3 linked regions of the Xenopus tropicalis genome follow. The protein of the gene in region 3 interacts with the protein of the main gene of each other region in a biochemical or structural test. Links are inferred from orthologs where the notes say so. Each region holds a gene or a part of one and is shown on either strand. Other genes may lie near its edges.

What was found. The genes of interacting proteins can lie anywhere in the genome.
Region 1: the proteins of erbin (region 3) and smad3 form a complex in vitro, tested with the Homo sapiens proteins (2 studies listed by BioGRID). The link is inferred for Xenopus tropicalis from reciprocal best matches to the Homo sapiens genes ERBIN and SMAD3.
Region 2: the proteins of erbin (region 3) and mapk12 interact in a test that uses a peptide from one of them, tested with the Homo sapiens proteins (2 studies listed by BioGRID and IntAct). The link is inferred for Xenopus tropicalis from reciprocal best matches to the Homo sapiens genes ERBIN and MAPK12.

The regions. Positions count from the first base shown.
Region 1 is NC_030679.2:117,362,136-117,370,143, forward strand, and holds the start of smad3 (mothers against decapentaplegic homolog 3), read left to right. Parts: upstream 1-3,903; 5' UTR 3,904-4,192; coding exon 4,193-4,398; intron 4,399-8,008. UniProt on the Homo sapiens protein: Receptor-regulated SMAD (R-SMAD) that is an intracellular signal transducer and transcriptional modulator activated by TGF-beta (transforming growth factor) and activin type 1 receptor kinases.
Region 2 is NC_030679.2:71,610,142-71,618,004, forward strand, and holds the start of mapk12 (mitogen-activated protein kinase 12), read left to right. Parts: upstream 1-3,758; 5' UTR 3,759-4,125; coding exon 4,126-4,250; intron 4,251-4,784; exon of another isoform or gene 4,785-4,895; intron 4,896-7,863. UniProt on the Homo sapiens protein: Serine/threonine kinase which acts as an essential component of the MAP kinase signal transduction pathway.
Region 3 is NC_030677.2:187,518,160-187,525,555, reverse strand, and holds part of erbin (erbin), read left to right. Parts: intron 1-5; coding exon 6-127; intron 128-759; coding exon 760-933; intron 934-1,579; coding exon 1,580-1,759; intron 1,760-2,839; coding exon 2,840-2,954; intron 2,955-3,822; coding exon 3,823-4,006; intron 4,007-5,414; coding exon 5,415-6,933; intron 6,934-7,396. UniProt on the Homo sapiens protein: Acts as an adapter for the receptor ERBB2, in epithelia. By binding the unphosphorylated 'Tyr-1248' of receptor ERBB2, it may contribute to stabilize this unphosphorylated state.

The DNA of each region.
Region 1 (8,008 bases), on a different chromosome or scaffold from region 3:
TGTCTTTATTTATATAAGTAGGGCCTAATTGCAGCACCTCAGACTGTTAGTCACACACACTTCTAAACAAAGAAGACATAATCAGCAAGTTTGCTGTAGGCTTCAGCCACTGTAAGGCTGTGTAATAATCTGCCATGCAAAGGTCAAATGCATGTAACTGATGGCACAGAATAAAATAAATAATGTCACTGCTGCTTACTCCATCATTGTCATTAAGTCAGATTTTTCTGTGCCATCCCATAGTATTTTTACCAGTGGATAGACAGACTTTCTTAGCTGACAAATTACCCCACCGTCTTTGTAATAAAAAATTGTTATATTTTATAAAGGGTAATTGCACACTGGGTATTCTGATCACTTGTAGTAACAATCAAAATTCCTGGTACCCTGCAAAGATTGCTTCACAAGGACATCAATGGGATGTGTCACACGTGTCACAAGCTTTTGATTATCAGGTGGTAAACACCACTCCAGGTTGACTGTGTGGCACTTCCCAGCATTGTGAAGTGGTGGGTCAGGCCAAACTGGCAATCTGTGGATTCTGGCAAATGCCAGAGGGGCTGTTATAAGATGGGTGGGAGGGCTGTTTGGGCCTCTGTGTACTTAATACCAAGGCCTTGTTTGTATACCAGTCCACACCTGTGGAGGGTAGCTCCTTTGTAGCTACAGGGTTTGCAATGCAGATCTCAGTTTGTTCAGAAAATGTAGGATAATTTTTTAATGAAAGTGGTATGCAGCTGTTGCAGTGTGTGTTGGAACAGACAAACATAGTAAAAAGTTCATGTAGGTTGAAGCATTTTCAGGATAAGGCCTACCTGCACTACTACAGCCAGGCAGTTCCTATTGAATGAATAGTGGCAGGGGCAGTGCTGGGTGCTTCTCCAATGGCAATGTCTCAGTCATGTGCTATATCCTTTATGTCAAAAAATATATAGGGGATCATGTACCCCCCTGTTGTAATATATGAGGAGTTTTATGCCCATATAAAGTCACGAGGCTGAAGGCCAAGTGTTGTTATATAGGTCATGGAACTCAAAGTGACTTCTAATATCCTCATGATTTACAAACGTGGTGCATTATTATGAAACAAGTTCAGGTAAGTCAGGTGACACATATTACATAGCTAAACACTGATTGTTGACATAATTAAGCCCCATTTATAAGGATTTAGTTTACAGGATAATCATGGCTTTTGTGTGTTGTATAAAGAATAATGTAACCCCTGTTGAAAAATATAAGGATATTATAAGTCACAGAGAAGGTCCATGAGCATACAGTATAAAAGCACAAGGCCGAGGAACTCCGAGGTAACTTCTTATAGCCTCTTATTTTCAACAGGGGGTACTTTATTTATTATAATACACAAGTTCCAGAGAGTGGTGACAGAAATTACATCACTAAGCACTATTAAGCACCAATTGGGCACCCAGTGGGCCCTGCATCCCCCAGTCCGACCTTGCATTTGTGTTTCAGGCAGGGGCGGGCCAACCAGACCCCCTAGGCAACCCTCCTGTGAGAGCTATAGAATGGGCATCTCAGTATCTTAGCAAACTATTCATAGACTAGCCTACACAATGCCATGTATATCCTATAGTACGGCAAACTGCCCTGCACTCTATTACTATTCTTGGTCTGGGACAGGGGAGGGCTTAGCCGACTGGATGACCTAGGCAACCCAGTCGGCCACCTCACCCCTGTGCCCTTGCAATAACAAGTGGCGAGGGGAATAAAAATGACAAGGGAGCACGGACTAGGGGTAGACAGGAGAGGTACCTGGAGCCCCCTCATTGTTGTGCCGTAGGCAGGTACCTCTTCTGCCTACCCCTAGTTCCGGCCCTTGTTTCAGGCCTTAAAAAACAATGTATAATAATTAGTAGTTTTTGGAAAATGTTGTTACAATATTGCAAAGGTTACTGGGTTATGTTCTCTAAAGACTGATTGATTCTTGATTATACAGCAGCACTGTTTCTAGCAATCTTTAAAGCAGGATTCAGAAGGAAGTGGTCTAAAATTTCTGCAGCTTAATTCCTTAACAATTAGAAGAGGGATTGTTATAGGAAACAGTAGCAAAGCAATGGAGACAAATGCACAAAAGTTTTAAAACTGGACAAATTTAGTGACAGAAAACTGCCCAGAACTAATTTGAAATGCATAATAATAAAATAATATTTTTTTGAATTGTCAAGGCCCTTAAAAGCCTGAAGTTGTCATTGAGAGGTATGTAAAGGTTTTTCCTGCACGTAAAGGTCTCCAAGATTTAAATATTAACCTCACAGGCTAATGCCACACTTTGCATATTCTTGGCAAGCCAAAAAATGCTTGCCGAGAATACGCCCCTAGGCTTGATAAAACTTCTACATGTGCTTGCTGTAATGGATTACAGCAAGCACATGTAGCTTTGCATTTTCAGTGGATATTGGCTACATGTGCCTGCACCTGAGCGTATTCAATGCTTCACAGTGCAGGCACAAGTAGAAGTTTTTTCAAGGGTAGGGGCGTATTCTCAGCTCTTGTTTCTCGTTTTTTTGGCTTGGCGAGTATACACAAAGTGTAGCATTAGCCATGTAATGGATATATTAGACCAGGAATCCCCAACCTTTTTTACATGTGAGCCACACTCAGATGTTAAAAGTGTTGGTGAGCAACACAAGCATGAAAAAGTTCTGTAGATTATGCAAAATAAGGGCTGTGATTGGCTATTTGGTAGCCCAAGTGGACTGATTGAAGTAAAGCTCCATCTCTATGCTTCCAAAAGCTTGTCTCCAAGGCAGAAATGTAAAAACGGGCACTTACTTTCTTTTTCCATCTGTCTAGAGCTGTCTCCAGTATGCCTCAGAAGGGGAAAAAGCAGGGGCGTATATTCTATATGGGCACCCGAGGGCTTGTGCCTAGGTGCCAACAATTTGGAGCCTGCCCAGTGATTTAATATTTCCTTCTCCTTCAAAAACTTTGCCTCCAGCTTACTAAAGTGCAATTAAGCTGTCTGTGACTCATTGGCCTTTACCACTGCAAATTAGTGCCCAACTGATTGCATTGCCTGAGTTTACTAAGTGTGCCTTATATGTCTGGCATTAGAGTTACACACACAAAATAGCTAATGCCATTATTCATTAACATTTTTAGTTTTTGGTATCAATTTTCTGCCATATATGTTCCATATTTTTGGGGCCTCAGCCCCAGGGATGGACTGACCGGCGGAACACTGAAAGAAAACCCACTGGGTTCTGAATCTCAAGGGCCCCACCCAGGCCTGCTCCCCGCCAGTACCACCAGCTATCACCCACGATCCCCAATTTAGTGTAAAGATGAAGCAAAATGTAAAGGGTGCGTGGTGTTGAGTTTGCCATATGCAGAAGCTTGCAACTGGGTGGTGGGCAGCTACAGGGACCTGGCCACTCCAAACCAAGGATGTCTAGCCAAAGGCACTTTAGGTAGGGGCCAACATTAATGACTATCACCTTTACTTTTTTATTTAAGCTTTTTTAAAGTGACTTTCTGTCAGAAACCCATAATTCTGCTATACTTTGCAGCTTGTGGTATCAGTTTTTATGCACCAGTAACTCTTAATAACCTCGGTGTTAATACACATTTAATTCTCCCTCCCGCTCGCAGGTTGTAGCTGCTGCTGAGGGGAAATATCGCGAGAGGAGGATTCCTCTCCTCACTGATTCTTCTCGTTCCTGACAGGCTCCCCTTTAATTAAAGGCCTACGTCCTCAGCAGGACGAGACATTAGGGGCGTGGTCAGATTCTGTCGTCGTAAGAAGAGGTGTCAGTGAAATGGAGTGGGCGTGGCCTTTTGGAGGGAAGGAGGGATGCTTTTCTGAGAGGGGAGGTAAGTCGGCGAAGAGGGGGGGGGGAGAGTGGTTAGAAAGTTAGAGGCGAAGAGAAGGGGTTGAGTGCTGAAGCACAGAGAGGGACAGGGAGCGACTGAGGCCACAGTACGGGCAGAGAGTGCACAGTAAGAAGTATATATATATCTAGAGAGAGAGAGAGAGGGCAAAAGAGAGAGTCGTAGTAATAGCTGCTGAGTAAAGTGTGTGTGCGCCAGTGGGGAAGAGTCCCAAGGAGCCTGAGTGACAATAGGTGTGTGAGCTGCAGCCTGACAGGGATTGTCCCCTTGTCTCCCCCGCGGCCCCCCAGCTCCTGTCCTTTCTCTCCTATTATATCTCTGTTCTGCTTGGGGGGCTGTCATGTCCTCGATTCTTCCCTTCACTCCCCCCATCGTGAAGAGGCTGCTGGGATGGAAGAAGGGAGAGCAGAATGGGCAAGAGGAGAAATGGTGTGAGAAGGCAGTGAAGAGTCTGGTGAAGAAACTGAAGAAGAGTGGGCAGCTGGACGAGCTGGAGAAGGCACTGACCACCCAGAGCATCAGCACCAAGTGCATCACCATCCCCAGGTGAGAGGCAGGCGGGGAGCAATGCCCAGCTGGCAGCAGCATCATGTGCTTTCCATTAGGCAAGGGATTGCTTGTCCAACCCAACATGATCAGGGCACAAGTTCTGCCATATCAGTGTGACTGGGGTGATGGGCCCTGCTGCTATATATAACATTGATAGGCGCTGGACCCAGAGTAGATGAATGAGAGCATAACAACAAGTCATATATTATATATGCTGTTACTTTAAGAATCATTGTAAGATTTGTTGCAACTGTTTCTCCATGTCTCCCATCTCCTGTTGAGTATTATAAGCCCCTAATACATTTGATTCACCCTGTTGATTGCGCATCCTATACCAAAACCAATAGGATGGCATATATCATCCCTTATTCTAAACTACTTCTGTGGTTACTTAACCATGTTACTCCTTTTACACTCCTGTTTTGTTCTTGAACTACAACTCCCAGAACCCCCCTGACAGCCCAAGGAGCTTGTAGTCCAACAGTACAGTAGCTGGAGACTTGTGGGCTGGATATCCTTGGTACCGCCCTTCTGATTTGCTCCTCACAGTTACCCTGCAAAAAGTATTGGACAAGAGGAGGATTTATGTTTCCTATCCCCCTCTACATTCAAAATGTCACACAAGTGCTTGCAGCTTGCTGTAATATAAAGGGAACATTGACATTCTCCAGACAGTTTCCAACTTTTCCTGCATGTAATTATGTTTTTCTAAATATATTTTACTCTTCATCACGTAGCCAGTGCCTCCACTTTCTCTTTGAGGCTGCAAGTTTGGCTTTTGATCATTCTTGAATTTAATGCCATTATAAAAATATATAAAAATAATCATTTCTGCATGAAAGACAACAAACTCTGTACAGATTTTCATATATTTCATATATTTCCTTACAGAGACTTATACAGAGAAATATGTATCAAAAGGTAAATCTTGTTAAGCCTCCATCACTATAATTTTGTATAACAAATACTTGCAATAATAAGTTAGACCCATGTGGTATGTGTTTTTGATTGGGATAAGTTTCAATAAGCTATAAGTCTAGAGTTGAGACTTATAGCCACTCTACAATACATTGACAACAAATACAAATGCCTTGGATATAAGTGATCCTCATGAACATGTATCCCAAAGGTCAAAGTTGTGATGTAGTTGGGACAGGCCAGGAAATGCCAGCACAGCATGTGGGGAAATTAGACAAATCTGTTTTTGCTGGAATACCATGACAACAGGAATGGTTATTCTATACCTGATTTAGTTTCATATGGTATATGCATTCCAGATTCTAGGAATTGATGGCTTGCAATCACAATTCCTTTTTTCCCTTTAATATCTTTGAGATCATTCTAATCTGAAAGAAAAACAAACTACCTGAAAGTAACAGGTAACATTAAACCAAAACAGAGCTCTCCAATAGGAGGCATGTACAGGCTTTTGAAAAAATACCATACCATCAGCCTGGTGTTAATTTTTAAAGTTTTGACACCCTGATACACAAATGGATGTGGTTCCAGGGGTGCTGGATCCAGGCTAGGGAAGGCTGGAGTGCAAGTACAAATAGGGTCTATTATCCCAAATGCTTGGAACCTGGGGTTTGCTGTATCAGGGATCTTTCCATAATTTGGTTCATCAAACCTTAGGTCTGCTAAAATCATTCTAACATTAAATAAACCTAATAGAATTGTTTTGCCATAAATATGAATTTATGCAGGTTAGTTACCAACACGTACAAGTCAGTCACAAGGTACAGGTACTACCTTGTACATGATGGCAACAAAGCTGCATTGATCCATATTGGTGGCAATTATATTATATTGGCGGTTTATTTAATGTTTAAATGATTAGAGGTGATTAGTGATTAAAGTATGGTCATCCAGACTACAGAAAGATCCCTTAACTGGAAAACCAAATGTCCCGAGCATTCTGTATTACAGGTCCCATACATGTACTGAGAAAAAGGAAATAATTTTAATAAACGTTTCTCCAGCATACAGGACAGTAGTTGCTGGACTTCTACATTTCAAGCTTCCCTGAAGGCCTAAGCTTTAGGTAGGCCTCTTCTTATACAACATAACAATGTTACGGTTGATGCATTGACGCAATAGCCAAACTTCCAAGAATATCTAGTACAGAAAATATGTTTTCACCTTAACTCTCATCCTAACTGACCTTCAAGCTAAATTTTAAGGTGTATCAAGGAGAGCACATAGCTATTCTTATTATTTGATCTTCAGCCGGCCACTGCTCCATATTCTCCAGTGGCACCAGCACTACATTTTAGGGAGCACTACTAAAGGTAGTGTGCCACCTTTCAGTTCAGAATGGCAGATTTGGTGCCCCTCGGAAATGGGAAGCTAGCATGTGAGTGTAGAAAGGTACAGCTGGGGAGGATTGGAAGAGGAGGGTATGTATAAAATAAATATTAGAGTCCAGGTTTTTTGTTATCAATATGAGCCAATTCCTCATATACAGAAAGGTGTTGGTATCATTCTAATGAATGCGGTAACTCAGTGTACATCAAATAACTAAAATTTTTTAAAGAACATGTAAAGTCTATTTTACTGGGGGGGATGCCAAAATGTTAGGCAACCCCCTAGTGTAATAGACACTCTCGGAAAAAAAACTAAGGAACCTGAGTGTCGCCTGCCATTTTACTAACCTTTCTACCGGCGCCCCAGGCATCCCCTGCGCAAATTCTTGTTCCGCATGCGCATTGAGATCTACTCAACTGCACATGCACAGAATGCCAAGCACCAAGCAATAAGAAATAAGGTAAGGAGATATCTGAGTGGTGCCCAGTCCAGACAGTTTTGTCCACAGGCTGGTGTGGTTCTTTCCTAACAGGAGAACCAGCCTGGGGACAAAACTTATCTATTTCACTGGGGGGTGCCTAACATTTTGAAAACCCCAAGTGAAATAGACTTTACATGTCCTTTAGGTACAGCCTATATCCTTGGTTGCTAGAAAAAAAAACATCCTTCCTTGTAAAAATAAAAAAAAAACTTCCCTTATGACACAGTGCTGCTTTGTTTAAACAGGCTAATTGTGGCAGCTTTACAGAAAATATTATTATATTATGTTTCACAGAGTTTGTCAATCTGCATTCTGTGTCAGTAAAATGACCTGGCATAGCTTTCACATGAAGCGAGCAGATTACCCACTGAGCACTGTGAGGTATTTATATAAGAAGGAGAAAATAAGCACGTTACAAAACAGGCCTGAACAAGAAGGGCATGTGAGTACAGGCACAGGGACGTGTGGGGGGGCACATTGGGCTCAGCAGTTTTACACATACACACAGCCGAAAATAGCACAGAATTTTACTTAGATGTAAAGCTAAGAATTGGGCTCTTCTGTAATGGAAGATTATAAATATTCAGGTTCCAGGAATTTCTAACCTTTCCTTTACACTACGCAACGTAGGTCATCTGTAACTGGCGTTTCCCAGTGCCTGCTGTTAGGAAATTCTTTTCCAGAAGCCAGTTCTGGATCCACCATGGATTTTTTTTTTGGAGTAAGTGTTTCCTAGTGGAAAATAAAGAAGGATCATTTTTTATTCCACAGGGAACAAGCAAGAGTAAAAGGCAGTGAAAAATAGAGGGCTTTTGAGTT
Region 2 (7,863 bases), on a different chromosome or scaffold from region 3:
TGGGAATCCTGGTGTGGTTGGAACCCATATACCTCCTTCTGGGCCTCACTAAATCTAATATTACCATATAACATTTACAGATCTGCCACCATTAGCCAGGGTGGGCCTTAGGCTACTTAGCCGTCTCACAAATCCTGGCTTTTCCACTGTCAGATGCATTTAGAGAGTTACTGTATGTACTAAAAAAGTATATAGTTTATGTACTATAAACTGTAGCAACCTATTAGGAGTTTGTTTGCATAATTCCAACTAATCTAAACCATTTAAACTGCATTTGTTTTTATGAATTGTAAGCATTCTAATGCTTTAATTGGCTGAAGTTTTTATGCTTGCCTAGGACACACAGATGAAAATCTATTTTAATTTTAAGAATGGTAAATTTAAGGGTTGGTTTCTTTCATAAATTCATTTTGGGTATTATACCATAGATGTTAATTATGAGCAACTTGTATGTTAGTAGTGCTGTCTTTATAGTAAATTGTTGTAATGTCAGGCTTTATAAACTCTAAACAATACAACCATGACCTCCCAGCAGCATTCAAAGACAATTGTCCATTAGGTGGCAGCAGACTAAAATATTATAAGATTATTTACAAACAGTATTTAGGTCAGTCTTACATTCATGATAAGTCTTGCATTATACTCCCCACAACAACAAAACTTCATATGAACTTTGGCTGCATGATATGCAGGTAATATTCCATTAATGTTTTTTTATGTATATATTGGTTATCAGCCTGAAATAGACAAAAGAAACTTTACATAAGAAAGGGTATGAACTGTTCAGGTTAATCTTCATTGATGTTGCATTAAAAGAAAAGTGAAGTAACTAAAACACTTCCCTTTAAAATATAATGCGTTTATAAGTTTGTCTGTGCTAAATACAGTGCTCATTTGAAGTGGTGCTACAAGTTTGAATGAAACTAATAATAAAGTACATCAAACTTGAATATACAATGTAATTAATGGCAAATCATAGAAAAGGTCATGGCTATCACCATGGAAATCAGATGAGGCTTTCATGCAATGTGCATTAGCGCTGAGTTTATCCTGGTGTTGGTCATGTAATGACTTGGACACAGCCATTAACTCAGCTAGCACTTTGTGGGAAATGTTGGAGTACTGACACAAATATGCAGTGAAGAGTTATTGGGTAGCATTTTGTTCTGCAAAGGCTTTATAGAGGGTCATTGTAGAACATCCAGTTATTATGTTTCCAACCACACTTTATCTATGCAAAAGCCATTCTGCAGGGCTCCACTGGAAGCCAACACAACCCATAGGAACCATTTACTGGGTTTTATAGGCTAAGCCCAGGCTGAAATAATGTTTTCCTAATTGAAATGTGCATGGGGCTAAATTTTTATGAAGGGACAGAGAACTAATTTGAATGCACATTGCATGGACTCATGCTGCTGGGATATGCCTTGCTTTATGTAACACAACCTCATTCTGTGCAATACATTGTAGTTTTTTTGGCAGTGTGGGCATTGCATATGGCCTCCATGCTGACTATAAAAGTGAACCTGCTGCCCAGAATAAATATTTTGTACGCTTAGGCTGAGTAAATGAGTAGTAAAGATGATTGGATTGTAAAACAAAAAAAAACTTTTGCTCTGCCTGTATTTGAGAAGGTTTTCTGCAATTGCAAAGGTATCTTTCCATTGGACAATGATCAAAGGTTCCCTCCTGATTGAATTGTATGCTTTGTGCATATGTATGTCTTTGAGAGTTAAATTAGTTTGTAAATTCCACTGGTTAGAAAGTGATGGTAAAACCATACACCATAAGATTTGCTTATTTGGTGAGGTTGCCAAATTAGCTGGTCTTTCTCCCAATATAGCCCAATATCGGGATATAGGTCCAAATGATCTAATTACAGTACCGCGAATAGCAGCCATTGGAATGAGGACCACATCAATAAGCCAATGTGGTCCCTGATACAATGGAAAATCAAGTCTGCCAGATACTTGTTGGGAATGCCCATCAGAGTGCGCCATACACAGGCAGATAAACTGCCAAATCAGTTTGAATTACCTAAATCAGAAGCTTAAATCTGCCCATGCATTGCCCCCATCTTGGCCAGATCCAAGCAAAGAGCATTAACTTTTATTTGTTTTTCTCCTCACTGAAAAAGAAACCATGCTCACATTCAGGCACCTGATAATAGAGACAACAGACCCATTGCTGGGGGAGGCAGTAGCATTCAAGGCATTGTAATGTCTAAATTTCATGGGCAATTTAAACACATATGCAAAACAGAATTGGTTAGATATTTTATCATACAATAAAAGTCAGTGAAAGGTGCCATTTCACAACCCACTGGGCAAAAACTGTGGAATCCTGGTGGGTATGTGTATCTCCATTTTCTTTGCTCTGTGAATTTATACTAGTGTGTAATTACCCTCTAGATGCAAAATAGATGCTCCATCTCATAGCAGTCACTGAAGAAGAACAGTATATAGGAAGATTCTTATTCATTCATAGGAGTTGTCAGTTCTAAACTTTACAGAACACATTTGAACCCAGCTTGATAAACACACAACTTCTTGAATAAATAAAAACATATTTTTTGACAACTGTTTGATTGAATTATAAGGCATGTTAAAGGCATAAAAATGCAGCATGTTGTGTTTAAGGAAATACATTGTAACGCAGCTGTGCTAAAATGCAGATCCTGATGCAGGCGGGTACAATCAGGCAAAATAAAGCTGAATCAAATCGCACATGAGTTTAGGCGTGCTTAATCTTGCATCTCAAACACTATATAAATAGTGTAAGTTGCATGCAGGACCTGTCTGTTCAGGGTGCTGCACATGAATATAATGTATAAACTACACTACAGCATCCAAGAATATCATGCTCCCTTGGGGCTGGGCCTGGTCCCTAATGGGAAATGATAGGTCATTAAAACCTATAGTTTCTTCTGCAGCTGTCAGGCTTAGAGTTTTGACTGTTATTTGGTTGCTATGGTTTAATTACCCTGCTGACCAGGAAGTATTAATCCAACCCCTTCACCAATATTCCTTGACCCTTGCATGTGGCGTTACTAAATATCTCATTTAATCTGCATTTTTGGTTATTCTATGGGAAAATATATTATTTGTGTCCCCTTAGGCCCCTGCTGCCAGCATTATGGTCACAACCCTTTTAGCTACTAAGCTACACCCTTACTTAATATTACAATGGGACCTTTTATAGCTTGTAATTGTGTCAAAAGAGTCTGTTGCATTTATAGGAGCATAACAATAGGCTGAGTTGGCTCTTTTGCCCCAAGATTATTTGGAGCTCAGCAGGGGCCTTTAATAATGGCAATTTAAATTTACAGGTACAAAAGCCTGTTCTAGATTTGGTACACTGGGACTACAGCCACATTGAGATATTACAACTGTGTAATCTAATTTCACAGACGAACAAATAATAATTACAAATAAGCATTAGTAATAATGTAAACCGAGTCTGATAAAAACCCATTGGGGAAGAATGAATTTGTTAGGTTGAACTGCCTAGTAGTAGCAGTGGGTTATTGAATAATAATTGAATAATGGCACTTCATGCCAAGAGAGGTCATAAAGCTTCACATTGAAAAATAATGCAAAGATCGTCTTCTTGTAGCGAAGGGTCATAACACGTATGAACGTGTGAGCGAATTCCCGGCCACATAACTTCCCAAATCACTTTAGGACTGTGTCGGACTAGAGCAGTGAGTGGGTTAAGTACTAATCTGCGCACTGGAGAAGGGAGGGGAGAAGGACTGGCCGGGTCACGTGACGGCACAAAGCTCCGGGCTCTATATGGGAAATACTTCCCGTCACTGGGCAGCTACTGTGCAGGCTGAGGGTGCGGGAAATACGCACAGTGGACAAAAGGAAAACGAAAGTGGAAGGCGAGAGCTGACCGAAGAGCGAAGACGCAGAAAGAGGGGCTGGTCGGAAGAGACTGTTCTACGTAAAGAAGGCAGCCGGTCCCTCATGGTGAATAAGAGCAGGACAAGTCAGTACTGCTCACCGTGACATTACTGTACCTCTCAGGAGAGCCGCCCAGTATCAGCAGTCAGGTGACTCTGCCTGGGACCCACATTCACATAGTACTAGTGCAACAGGAGCCTGCTGGCAACTAGTAGCCATGTCCACCTCCCCGTTGCCCAAGAAGGGATACTATAGGCAGGACGTCAATAAGACCGTCTGGGAGGTGAAGGAGAGGTACAGAGACCTGGTGGCTGTGGGATCAGGAGCCTATGGCACTGTTTGGTAAGTTGCAATGCTCCAAATATTCATGAAAGTTATCATTCATTGGACCAACACCTGTGGGTTTGTGTAATCTGTGCCAGGAATCACAGGAGCGGAGCCATATGTGTGCCAGCCCCTGCAGACTGCATTGGAGTCCTATATCATTGTAGTACTGTGAGTTAGGGTTTTGTATAATGCAGTGTATTCGATTTCAACTGGCACAAACAAATGATATTGCCATAGTACTCTACATAAGTTTCTATACCTGCCAGCTATATTGCCTTCAGCTTGCAAAAATGCTTGCTGGACCTAAAATGCTGTATTATGTCTCTATTGGCAAATGGAACAAACACAAGAACAAACACAAATTGCCAAGCTCAAAAATAGCTTGTGTACAAGCTGGGTATTCTATACATGCACAGCATTGCTAAAAAATAGGTCACATTTCTATAGAGCATTTCAGTACAAGTAAATTATATTTTTTGGCACTAATTGTCTAGTGGCAGTGTAGATTGCTCCATAGGGAAATTGTTCCCTGTTTTTCTGTCTTTTCAGACATGATTTCAATAATGCTGCTGGCTCTGGTACAAACCCCCGTGTGTATAGACCCATAGCTATACCCCATGATTATGGCACCCATGTGACATTTGTGCAGTGAACATGCAGGTAAAGACATCCCTTTTACAATTCTGGGGTTTTATTTGCATGTCTGTCATGTCTTAAATGTTCACCTCACTACCCCTTGACCAACTACCAAAGGGTTATGAGCCACCAGATGGTTGTATTGTGTTGCACTTGGCATAGCTTTGTGTTCCATTTTTGCTATATAACATTTCCTTGCTGCATAGAGAATTCTAGGCATATTACCTTGTTTATATGATTCCTGCATGATTCCTATATCACTAAGGTAAATATCCACAAACTTTACATGTTTTATGCGGGTTTAGTACTGTAAAATGGTGCAGATGAAATATGCCTCTATACCATTTACAATCTAAGCCCTGTCGCACTGAATTATGTGAGAGTATCATCATAGAGCATTTTGTAGTTTAATCAAATGTTTGAAATGAGTAATTGTCTATAAAACCGTGGGGATTAGCAATAAATAGTATGTTCCCTGGGTATTTTATCTTTATAATTTAGTACATAAACATTAATTTAAAGCTAAAATGTAGTTCTCTTTGTTCAGTTACTAATGCCCTTACTGCAGATGTAGAGAGTTGTAACATTTTACAGCCACCGCAATGCTACCAAGGATAAGGTACTGTATTGTTCACAATTTCCCTTTGCTTAAGTCTGTTGAAAAACTGATTTTCTGCTTTTACAGAATTAATTATTTCACATATTTAGAACAAGCCAAACTGTTGTTGCAACCGAGCAGGGTCAGGTCCAGGTAACATTCAAATGTCCCCTGGCTGACAGAATTGGGCAGCTAGAACCATATTTAGCATTCTATAAAAAAGCAACACAAAGGGACTGTTTATTTACTTCTGAAAACACTTTAAAAAGCAGTGTAAAATAACTGACACATTTATAAAGGCTTTAATTTTATTTTACACTGCCTGTTCATAATTAACACCACCATTATTTTTATGGAATTTCCCATTTAGGTCAATGGGAAACTTCTGGCAGAGCTAGAGTGTAAAGGAAAAAGCAGCAATGGATGATGGCTATTTATTACACGGCACTTTCAAGTGGCTTATTACTAAATATCTATGCATATTTTCTAGCTCTGGACAGACCAACTGGAGGCCCACTGTCTCCAAGTGATTTTTATGACCCACTCTAGCCTGCTCAAGGTCTGCATAGATCAGTCTGTGAGACATTATTACTTCAAAATAACTGGCAGACATTGCCCCTATTAAACTGTATCTTTTAATGTGTAATGTCTTTAAAGGATTTTTATTTTTAGGTTATTTCCACAGATTTTGTTGACTGGATCCTGTACCTAGTTAAACAGGCTGCACTTATTGGGAAATGGCTAACCAAGTTTGGGTGTTTTTCAGCAAGGCTAACAGACCCCCTGCCGTATACCCTCCTCAAATCATATAATAATCAAAATTAGAGGGGATTATAGGCAGTTGGGGGATGTTCTTTTTTCCCATAAAAACAATCAACGCACCAGAGGTCACCCCTTTAGATTAGAGGAATGGAGCTTCCATTTGAAGCAGCGTAGGTGGTTTTTCACGTTGAGGGCAGTGAGGCTGTGGAATGCCCTTCCTAGTGATGTGGTAATGGCAGACTCTGTTAATGCCTTTAAGAGGTGCCTGGATGAGTTTTTGAACAAGCAGAATATCCAAGGCTATTGTGATACTAATATCTACAGTTAGTATTACTGGTTGTGTGTATGGTTTATGTATGTGAGTGTATAGATTGGTTAGTGTGGGTTGTGTGCTGGGTTTGCTCGGATGGGTTGAACTTGATGGACAATGGTCTTTTTTCAACCCTATGTAACTATGTAAGATTGGGTTAGCCAGAACAAAATAGGTTCTTGGAAAAATCTGCCCCCTGCATACAGTTTCCTTATTACTGATAACTTGATTAGGCCAAATTGTATATGGTCAAGTAATTTATCTTCCGGGATGTACAATTAGGATTACACAAGAATCAGCATGCGTGCTTGGCATCGTGACAAGTGCCAGTGCTTGTGTTTTCTGTGCTTCTCCAGCTGTTGTTAAAGGGATTGTTCAACTATAAGTTAACTTTTGTATGACAGTAGAGCGTAATATTCTGAGGCAATTTGCAACTGATGTTCATTTTTTATTATTTGTAGTTTGTTTGTTATTGAACTTTTTGTTCAGCAGCTCTCTAGTTTATAGTTTCCGCAGCTATTTGGTTGGTATGGTCCAAATTACTTTAGCAACCAGGGAGTGGTTTGAATGAGAGACTGATATATGAATAGGGAAGGACCAGAATAGAAAATTAAGATATACAATATAACAATAAAACTGCAGCCTCACAGAGTTTTTTGGCTGCTGGGGTCAGTGACCCCCATTAGAAATCGGCAAAGCGTTAGAAAAAGAAGGCAAATAATTTAAAAACTATAAAAAAATCAATGTATAAAGACCAATTGAAAAATTGATTAGAATGATTGGCCATTCTATAACACACTTAAAGTTAACTTAAAGGTGAACTACCCCTTTAAGATGCCGCTGTCACTATCTCCAAAGAGCTGAAAACTGTTGCATGGTGATGGGTATTATAGTTGCCTTTGTAAGATTGCCCTTGGCTGTATAATAGCGCCAATAATGCATTCTCTTCGAAACCATTCATTGGACCAGCCAAATGGCAATAGCTTGCATTTCTGGTGGGGCCAAACAATACAGAACACTACACTTTTTGCCATTGACTGAAAAGTGCCATTAATGTTCCATGATGCAATACAAACACAAAGGTAACTACTGCACATGGCTGAAATATTCTGTTTTCTAGATTGGGACATGGTTCCTTCTATTGGTGGTGCCTTTGTGTCATTACATTTACGTACAAACCGGATTCCAAAAAAGTTGGGACACTAAACAAATTGTGAATAAAAACTGAACGCAATGATGTGGAGGTGCCAACTTCTAATATTTTATTCAGAATAGAACATAAATCACGGAACAAAAGTTTAAACTGAGAAAATGTACCATTT
Region 3 (7,396 bases):
TGCAGTTATTTTCTCATCGGACAATGAAAGCTTTAATCTCTCTCTCTGGGAAGAGCAGCGGAAGCAGCGGGCTCAGGTCGCCTTCGAGTGTGATGAAGTCAGAGATGACCGGGAAGCTCCAGCACGAGTCAGTGTTCCTAAAGGGCTCAGGCTTTCTTATATGCAGTCCCTAACTTCAGAATGGGGCTAACTTTTTAAGAAATCAATAGCCAGAGTTTATTTAAGGGGCAGTAGGGTTGTGTTTCTCTATTTCTCTCTCTCTCTCTCTCTTAACTGGCTGCTCCTTGCTACCTCCTTGCCTGAGGCAATGGTCTCACTTTGCCCCATAGCAGGAGCAGCCCTGTTCATTAACATCTTATGCCAGAAGCACTTGTGGTCTTTATTTGACACCATTCTAAAGACTTGAGATTAAGGAACCACTGCCCAATCACAAATGTATTAGTATATGCAGCGTTAATCGCATGTGTTACCAAAGTGTTTAGATGTACCAGAAATGAAGACTGATGGGATCGAAATGCACCACAGCAGTTCAGTTAGTAATATGTGAACCCGCAAAATGTGTCTTGGTGGAAGAAGAAGATGTGCCTTGCACTACAGAAAGAAATTTATTATATGCCTAGTAATAGTAATTCAATCCAACTTATAAATCTAAATGCTTTAACCTTTTGTTAAAAATATTAACTCATTTGGTGGCTAAAATGAAACCATTTGCATGTTGAAATATAAAAACACTAATATGAATTAAATGTTGTTACGTAGGAAGGGATCTTGAAGAGGTACCCAACACCATACCCAGATGAGCTGAAGAACATGGTGAAGACTGTTCAGACCATTGTCCATCGGAAAAAAGATGAGGAAAAAGCAGAAGAAGCCAATAAAGAGACAAAGCAAACCGATGGTGATCTCATTACACTGCAGGATGTAGGTGTAAAGGTCAGGAAGTCAATTGCTTACAATTATTTAAAGCATATAGGTTACAGTGGGATGGCAGACAACACAGTGTATATGCATAGCTAATATTTCAGGTTTATTTACAGAAACAGATATTAAGGCATTACATTTTGCCATTGCTTACCAGTGGATCTCCATTTCTAAAAAGAAGCCTACACTTACTTGTTTTGGTTACCTACCATTCTCGTGTATTCAATTAATAGTATGAGGTTGCCCGCTCTACCTTCCAGTAACCGAAGCATGACAACCTTGTATAAAGAATAACAATAATAAATAACATTACAAGATCTTAATGAGTTTAGGCTTGCTTGTTATTTACTCTATTATTCAATCACCAACAAAGAAGAAAATCAGCCTGACATAGAGTGCTATTCCACACAGATGGAAGTATTCCCACATACTCTTTATAACAAATATTAATGAAACAGGAATGCTTCCTATGTTGCCCATTTTCCAACATGCACCATACCAGTACGTTATATATATTGTACACATTACATTTCTTAGTTCCCCCTTCATTTACTTGCTATTGTCAGCAAAAGTGTTTCATGTGGGATACAGTTATGAATAAGTATAAAGAGCTGTTATAAAGTATAAAGAGCTCCATATCCTTTCATTTTTTTTCTAGACCTCGGAGGCAATCTTGGTAGAAATTGATACAGAGGATAAGGAGAAAAACATGCCAGCAAACTGTATAAAGAAGCTTCATGAACCCAGCACAGAGAATTCTAATGGGAATTCACAGTCAACCACTCTTGTAAACAATTTTTGGAATGCGAAAACAGCCAACCATGAAGACACACTTGAGGTACAACGTTGTTTTACTCTCTGTTTTGGCCATGAAAGGGAAGAGGTTCTGACACACTCAATATAATATCCTGACAGTTCAGTGGTATATGCTAAATACTGATATCCATCTACCATACAGTTTGAAAGAGCTTTTTAGTTCCAGGTTCGCTGCTGACACCATGCTGAGAGCATATGTAGGTAACAGAACAGCCTTTAGAGATGGGTTATGATGTGATGGGTCCATGTTTTATATGTTTTTGTCCAGATTAATTGCCAGGGAGTGACACACACAGACTAATAATAAAGATTTAGATGTAAATTAAAAGGGAATGCCACCTAAACACAACTTAAGATTCTTCTAAGTAAACATAATTTCAAGCAACTTTGCAATATACATCAGTTAAAAAATATGCAGCTTTTTCATGATTTTCATGTAATAATGTGATTTGGAACAGTTCCCTAAACCTGGCCCCCTGTTCCCCTGCTGATCTGGCTGACTACTGCCAGACAACTGCCCTCAGCCTGCATCCTCCAAATCGCACAATTCCCTGAACACATGATGTCAATAAGGAAAGGAACCACAGTGCAGTGCATTGTGGGTTATGTAGTTCCTGCATGCTGACTGTAAGCTGTAGAGAAGTTGTTAAAAATTATAACATCAGTATTTTAGTCCCTCTACTCCTGCCAAGATTTCACATGATGCAGAAAGAGAAGAACTGTTTCTGATTTGTAGCTGGATTTCAGCATATAAAAATGAGTTTTAGTCTATTTGAAAGAAGACATTACAGTGATATGTATATTAGGGGTTTCTGCATTGTGTGGGGCTCATATGGAGTTCATTATCCTGGGTATAATAAAATAAATATGTATTAAACTTCTCGGCACTGAGAACAAAAAAAATCGCAATATTTGCTTAAATTGTTGGACTGATGAACACTTTTAACTTTAGATTTTGGGGTGCCTTGACAAGGCTGTGCTGTTCTGATCTAGTCACCAGCTAGATTTTCCAGTAAATCTACCTTTTGGCACCCCTGGTATAGTTTGCTCAAAATGGAAATTGTTTTAAATGAAGTATTTGTTAAATGTACTCCTGCTGCAGGGATCAGAAGACTTATCTTACGATGATGAAATGAAGATGGCAGAAATGAGGCCACCTCTAATAGAGACCTCCATGAATCAACCAAAAGTAGTAGCCTTGAGCAATAACAAAAAAGGTAGGCAACAAACTGACGGAATGATTATCTGGCTTCACTCGTGTGGGCGTGTCTGTCAGACAACTGTACTAGTGTGATGGCAGCTATGACACATGACAGTTTTCTAAGGGGCTGATTTTACAATTTGAGAAAAAAACGCAGCAAATAATCATGAATGCGAATATACTTGAGAATATTATTAAGAACCACGAATAGTCTGTATTCTGAAAAAAAAAACCCTCGAAAAGCAACCAGAAAAAACTTTTCAAGTCAAAACTGGCGAGGTTTATTAGAAGTCAATGAGAATTATTTCTAACGACCTGAATGTTTTAATAACTGGGAAAATAAATAAAGTTTTTTTTAGCCTCTTTGAAATTGAATGGAACAATGTGATTCTCGCCAGGGTGCAAATATTTTCTGGGACAAGATTTCACACATGTTTTGTTGCAGTTATTATTTTCCCGTTCGCATTTTTTTTTTTAACAAACTCAAATTTTGATAAATCTGCGCCTAAGTAATAAGAAGTATTTGTTTGGTTGAGCATACCTTAGGGGCATGTATAAATAGCTATTTTCTCCTCTATAGCATGCACCTTTACTTACTATATGATTCTGAGAATTATTTTGTATGGAAAGTATGAAGTGGAGCAATAGATTTTGTATAAGACAACTAACGTTCTTATTAATTCATGCATTTAATAAACTGTCTGGAATTCCAAGACTTTTGTACACTGTATAAAACCTGACAATATCTGCCTTTATAATTATGCAGTGTTGTTGCAGTTGTGTATGTTGTAATAAATAAATAAAAGGGATAAAACTACTATTTTAGACAACTGGCAGCTTGCCAGAAGACCTGACTGACGAGATATGTATTAATTATGTTTCAGATGATACAAAAGATGCAGACTCCTTGTCTGATGAAGTGACCCGCAACAGTAATCAGAACAACAGTAATTGCTCCTCGCCATCTCGGATGTCAGACTCTGTCTCACTAAACACCGACAGCAGCCATGATACTTCATTATGTTCTCCGGAGAAAGATTGCAACATTGGGGCCAATTCGAAAATAAGGTTTGTGGTGAACAGATTTTGTATTTGATAAAAGTTGCCAGTAACGTGTCTTTTTATATACTGCACTGTATTTTTCTTCCTGAAAAGGTATTGCTATTAACCTCCTAGACTAATACTCTAATGCAAGCCTGGGTCAGTTTCTAAGTTTCCTTCATTCAGATGGTACAACTTTTGATAAATCTGTTAAATTCACCTACAGTTTTATGTCTGCAAAGAATAGAACCTTTTTTATATAGTTACATAGTTACATAGGGTTGAAAAAAGACCATTGTCCATCAAGTTCAACCCATCCGAGTAAACCCAGCACACAACCTATACTAACCAATCTATACACTCACATACATAAACTATATATATATATACAACCAGTAATACACATATATATGTTTTACAATGCATATATAGAAGTTATCTTACACAGAATATACATATTTGTAAGTACTACAGTGGTGCATAAACAAGAGCAGCGATTCTTACCCTATGGGTTTGGACCCAAAAGTGCATTCCCATATGGTTTTGTGAGTCTCCACAATCTACACTAAATATGTCAAATGCCTTTCTACATTAGAACATAGTTTTGTAACAAGGTGCATATATGTTTCTAAGCCAATGTTTGGGTTGAAAATCTAATTTAGCAATTTATGTTGTCCATGTTAAATGAGATGGAAAGGTAAAAACTAAGTAAGCTTTATCAGAAAAGTCTATGTAAATACAGCTATAAGCACTTACAGTAATGCTGCACTGAGTCCTCTATCAAAAGAAACACAGGTTTTTTTCTTCTTTTGTATAAACATGTTCTTCTGTATCAGACTTCCTCTCAGAAAAATCCTTCATTCCTGGGGCCGAAGTCTGTGCAGCTCTCTCCTCTCTCCCCATCCTCCTGCCATCTTCTGCTCCCCCTCCCATAAGAATTCAGAAGAATTCACTCCCCCTCCCATCAGAATGTGCAATCTGTGCTACCAGCCTCTAGAGCTGCAGCATGGAAGCTAAGGGAGATCAAGCTAAAATGGCAACTGCTGTCTTAAACAAACGGAGGGAGCTTCTAGGGCCCTTTTACTCAGGTATAGTAAAGCTTTCTGCAGAATAAATATAGTGTTCTAGGTGGAACTAATGTGGCATTCTATTGGCAAAAAAATCCCAAAATGACTTTCTCCTTTAAACACTGACTGTCTTTGTCATTATCTATTGCAATGGCTAATTGGCCTGTGTTTGCAAAAAGCAATCTTTTCCTGATGAAAGCATGCAGTGACATCAAGCCATTTCCAGTAGTTGAGCTGTTCGTAATACTAAACATTAAAATAAAGTTTTAACCTTGTGTAGTATATACTTCCACTTCTGTATATACTGTTTGCATTTTGCTATTTTTATTAATATTCTGTACTGATTCTCACTTTATTTTGCTTTTCAGACAAGAAGATGAAAACTTAAATAACTTTATGCAAAATGGAGACAAGCTGAGCCCTGCTGATAAAAGAGAACTAGCTGAGCTACCAGATATAAACAACGACGTTGAACTAGTTACGAGAGACAGACGAGTAATTAACTCCATGGAAAAGCCACTTAACCTAAACCAAATAAACAAAAACAACAACAACGTCGCTTGTGAAGATAAAATACATTCTAACTCTGTGGAAAATTCCGTGATTTCAAAAGATAGGGTCTCCAATAAAAGTTTTGGCAATTACAATGATGAAACAGACAACATAGAAAATGGGAATAAATTCTCTGGAGTCTGTGTGATGAATAGAGTAAACGGCCATTTGCCTGAAGAGCCAGTGTCTCCAGACACCAGTGAGCCGGTAAGGAGCACTTCAGAGGACTCTGTGCCTTCTGTTGATATGTGCATCTCAAAGAGCACCGATGACCTGTCACTTGGGGACAGTGTGGGCTCAGTAGTGGGCTCAGTAGTGAAGTCTCAAAGCATCACAAACATTGAGACTGGAGCACTAAGGATCTACAGTGTCCTCAGCGATAACAGTGCACCACAATATGCTACAAGGATGTCTTCTGCAAGTGCTGAAGGGCAAAATATTGTCAGAAGTAAGTCGGCAACTCTTCTTTGTGATCAGCCCTTACAAGTGTTCACCGGGTCGTCCTCTTCCTCTGACTTAGCAGCATCGTCATCCATAAAGAAAATGCTGTTTAAATTTGATACCAACCACAATCCTGAGGGGCCATATGCAGTGGCAGGGCCCCAGGGATCTCCAATGTCTGCTGTGCCTCAATATAATGTGCAGTATAGCACCAGTGCTACAGCCAAAGATAACCTGTGGTCACAGAAACAAAGTGCCCCTGTTGAACAAGGAACTTTGCCTTCGTCTCGCTTCCACCCATCAGATAGCATAGATAACCCCAACTATGTCAAACACCCTTCTAACTTGAATTTTTCCAATCACAACAACGTTAGATCAAGTAACATGTATAATGTGCATCAAAGGATGGGGCCTAGGCATGTGGAAGCGTGGGCCCCAACACCAAATGATCGGCTTCTTCAAGTAGCGACGCGAAGTACACTTCAAAGACAAGGCAGCGTTTCTTCAAATGCATCTGTATCTCTCGGGGAGGCAGGGTCTGCTAGAAGGGTGCTTGTGCCAGAGGGGGATTATATGACTTACAGAGATCTACATACAGTGAGCAGAGGAAATCACATGATGCCTGGTCCACAGAGACCAATGTCTGCCAGGACATATAGTATTGATGGCCCGAATGTGCCCAGGCCGCAAAGTGCACGGCCGTCCATTAATGATATTCCTGAGAGAACAATGTCTGTCAGTGATTTTAACTACTCTCGGACTAGCCCCTCTAAAAAGCCAAATGCCAGGGTGAACTCAGAGCATTCGTTATTAGACACTCAAGGAAGAAGTAAAGTCCCTCATGACTGGAGAGAGCAGGTCTTACGGCATATTGAGGCAAAAAAGCTTGAGAAGGTAAGCTGACCTGTTTTGTTTTCTGTTCAATTTATATGCAATGTGATTTTGTATATCTTGCAAAAGTGTTAGATGGAGATTGTTGCAGTTTAACAATAGTTAAAAGGCTACGTTATAGACACAGCTAATTAAAAACATGGAAACACTTCTGACCTTAAGTGCTTTTACTTTAAAGGCAAAATATACCTTTTTTTACATGAGCTTATTCCGTTAGGCTTATATAAAAAAGGTGCAGAACTTTGAAACATAAATACAAACCGTTTTTTTTTTTTATTATTTACACAGCCACAGATTAAAAGGAAACCATGATAGTCTGTCTCTGTGCTCACTGAGACCACCCCCTTTAGGAGCACAGTGTAATGAAAGCCCTTCCTTACCTTATTCCATTGTTAAGTGGTGCTTTCTGGGACTTCAAGTCTCACTACTTTTCATTGTGGGTGTTGCACCAGTTCTCTAGAGAGCA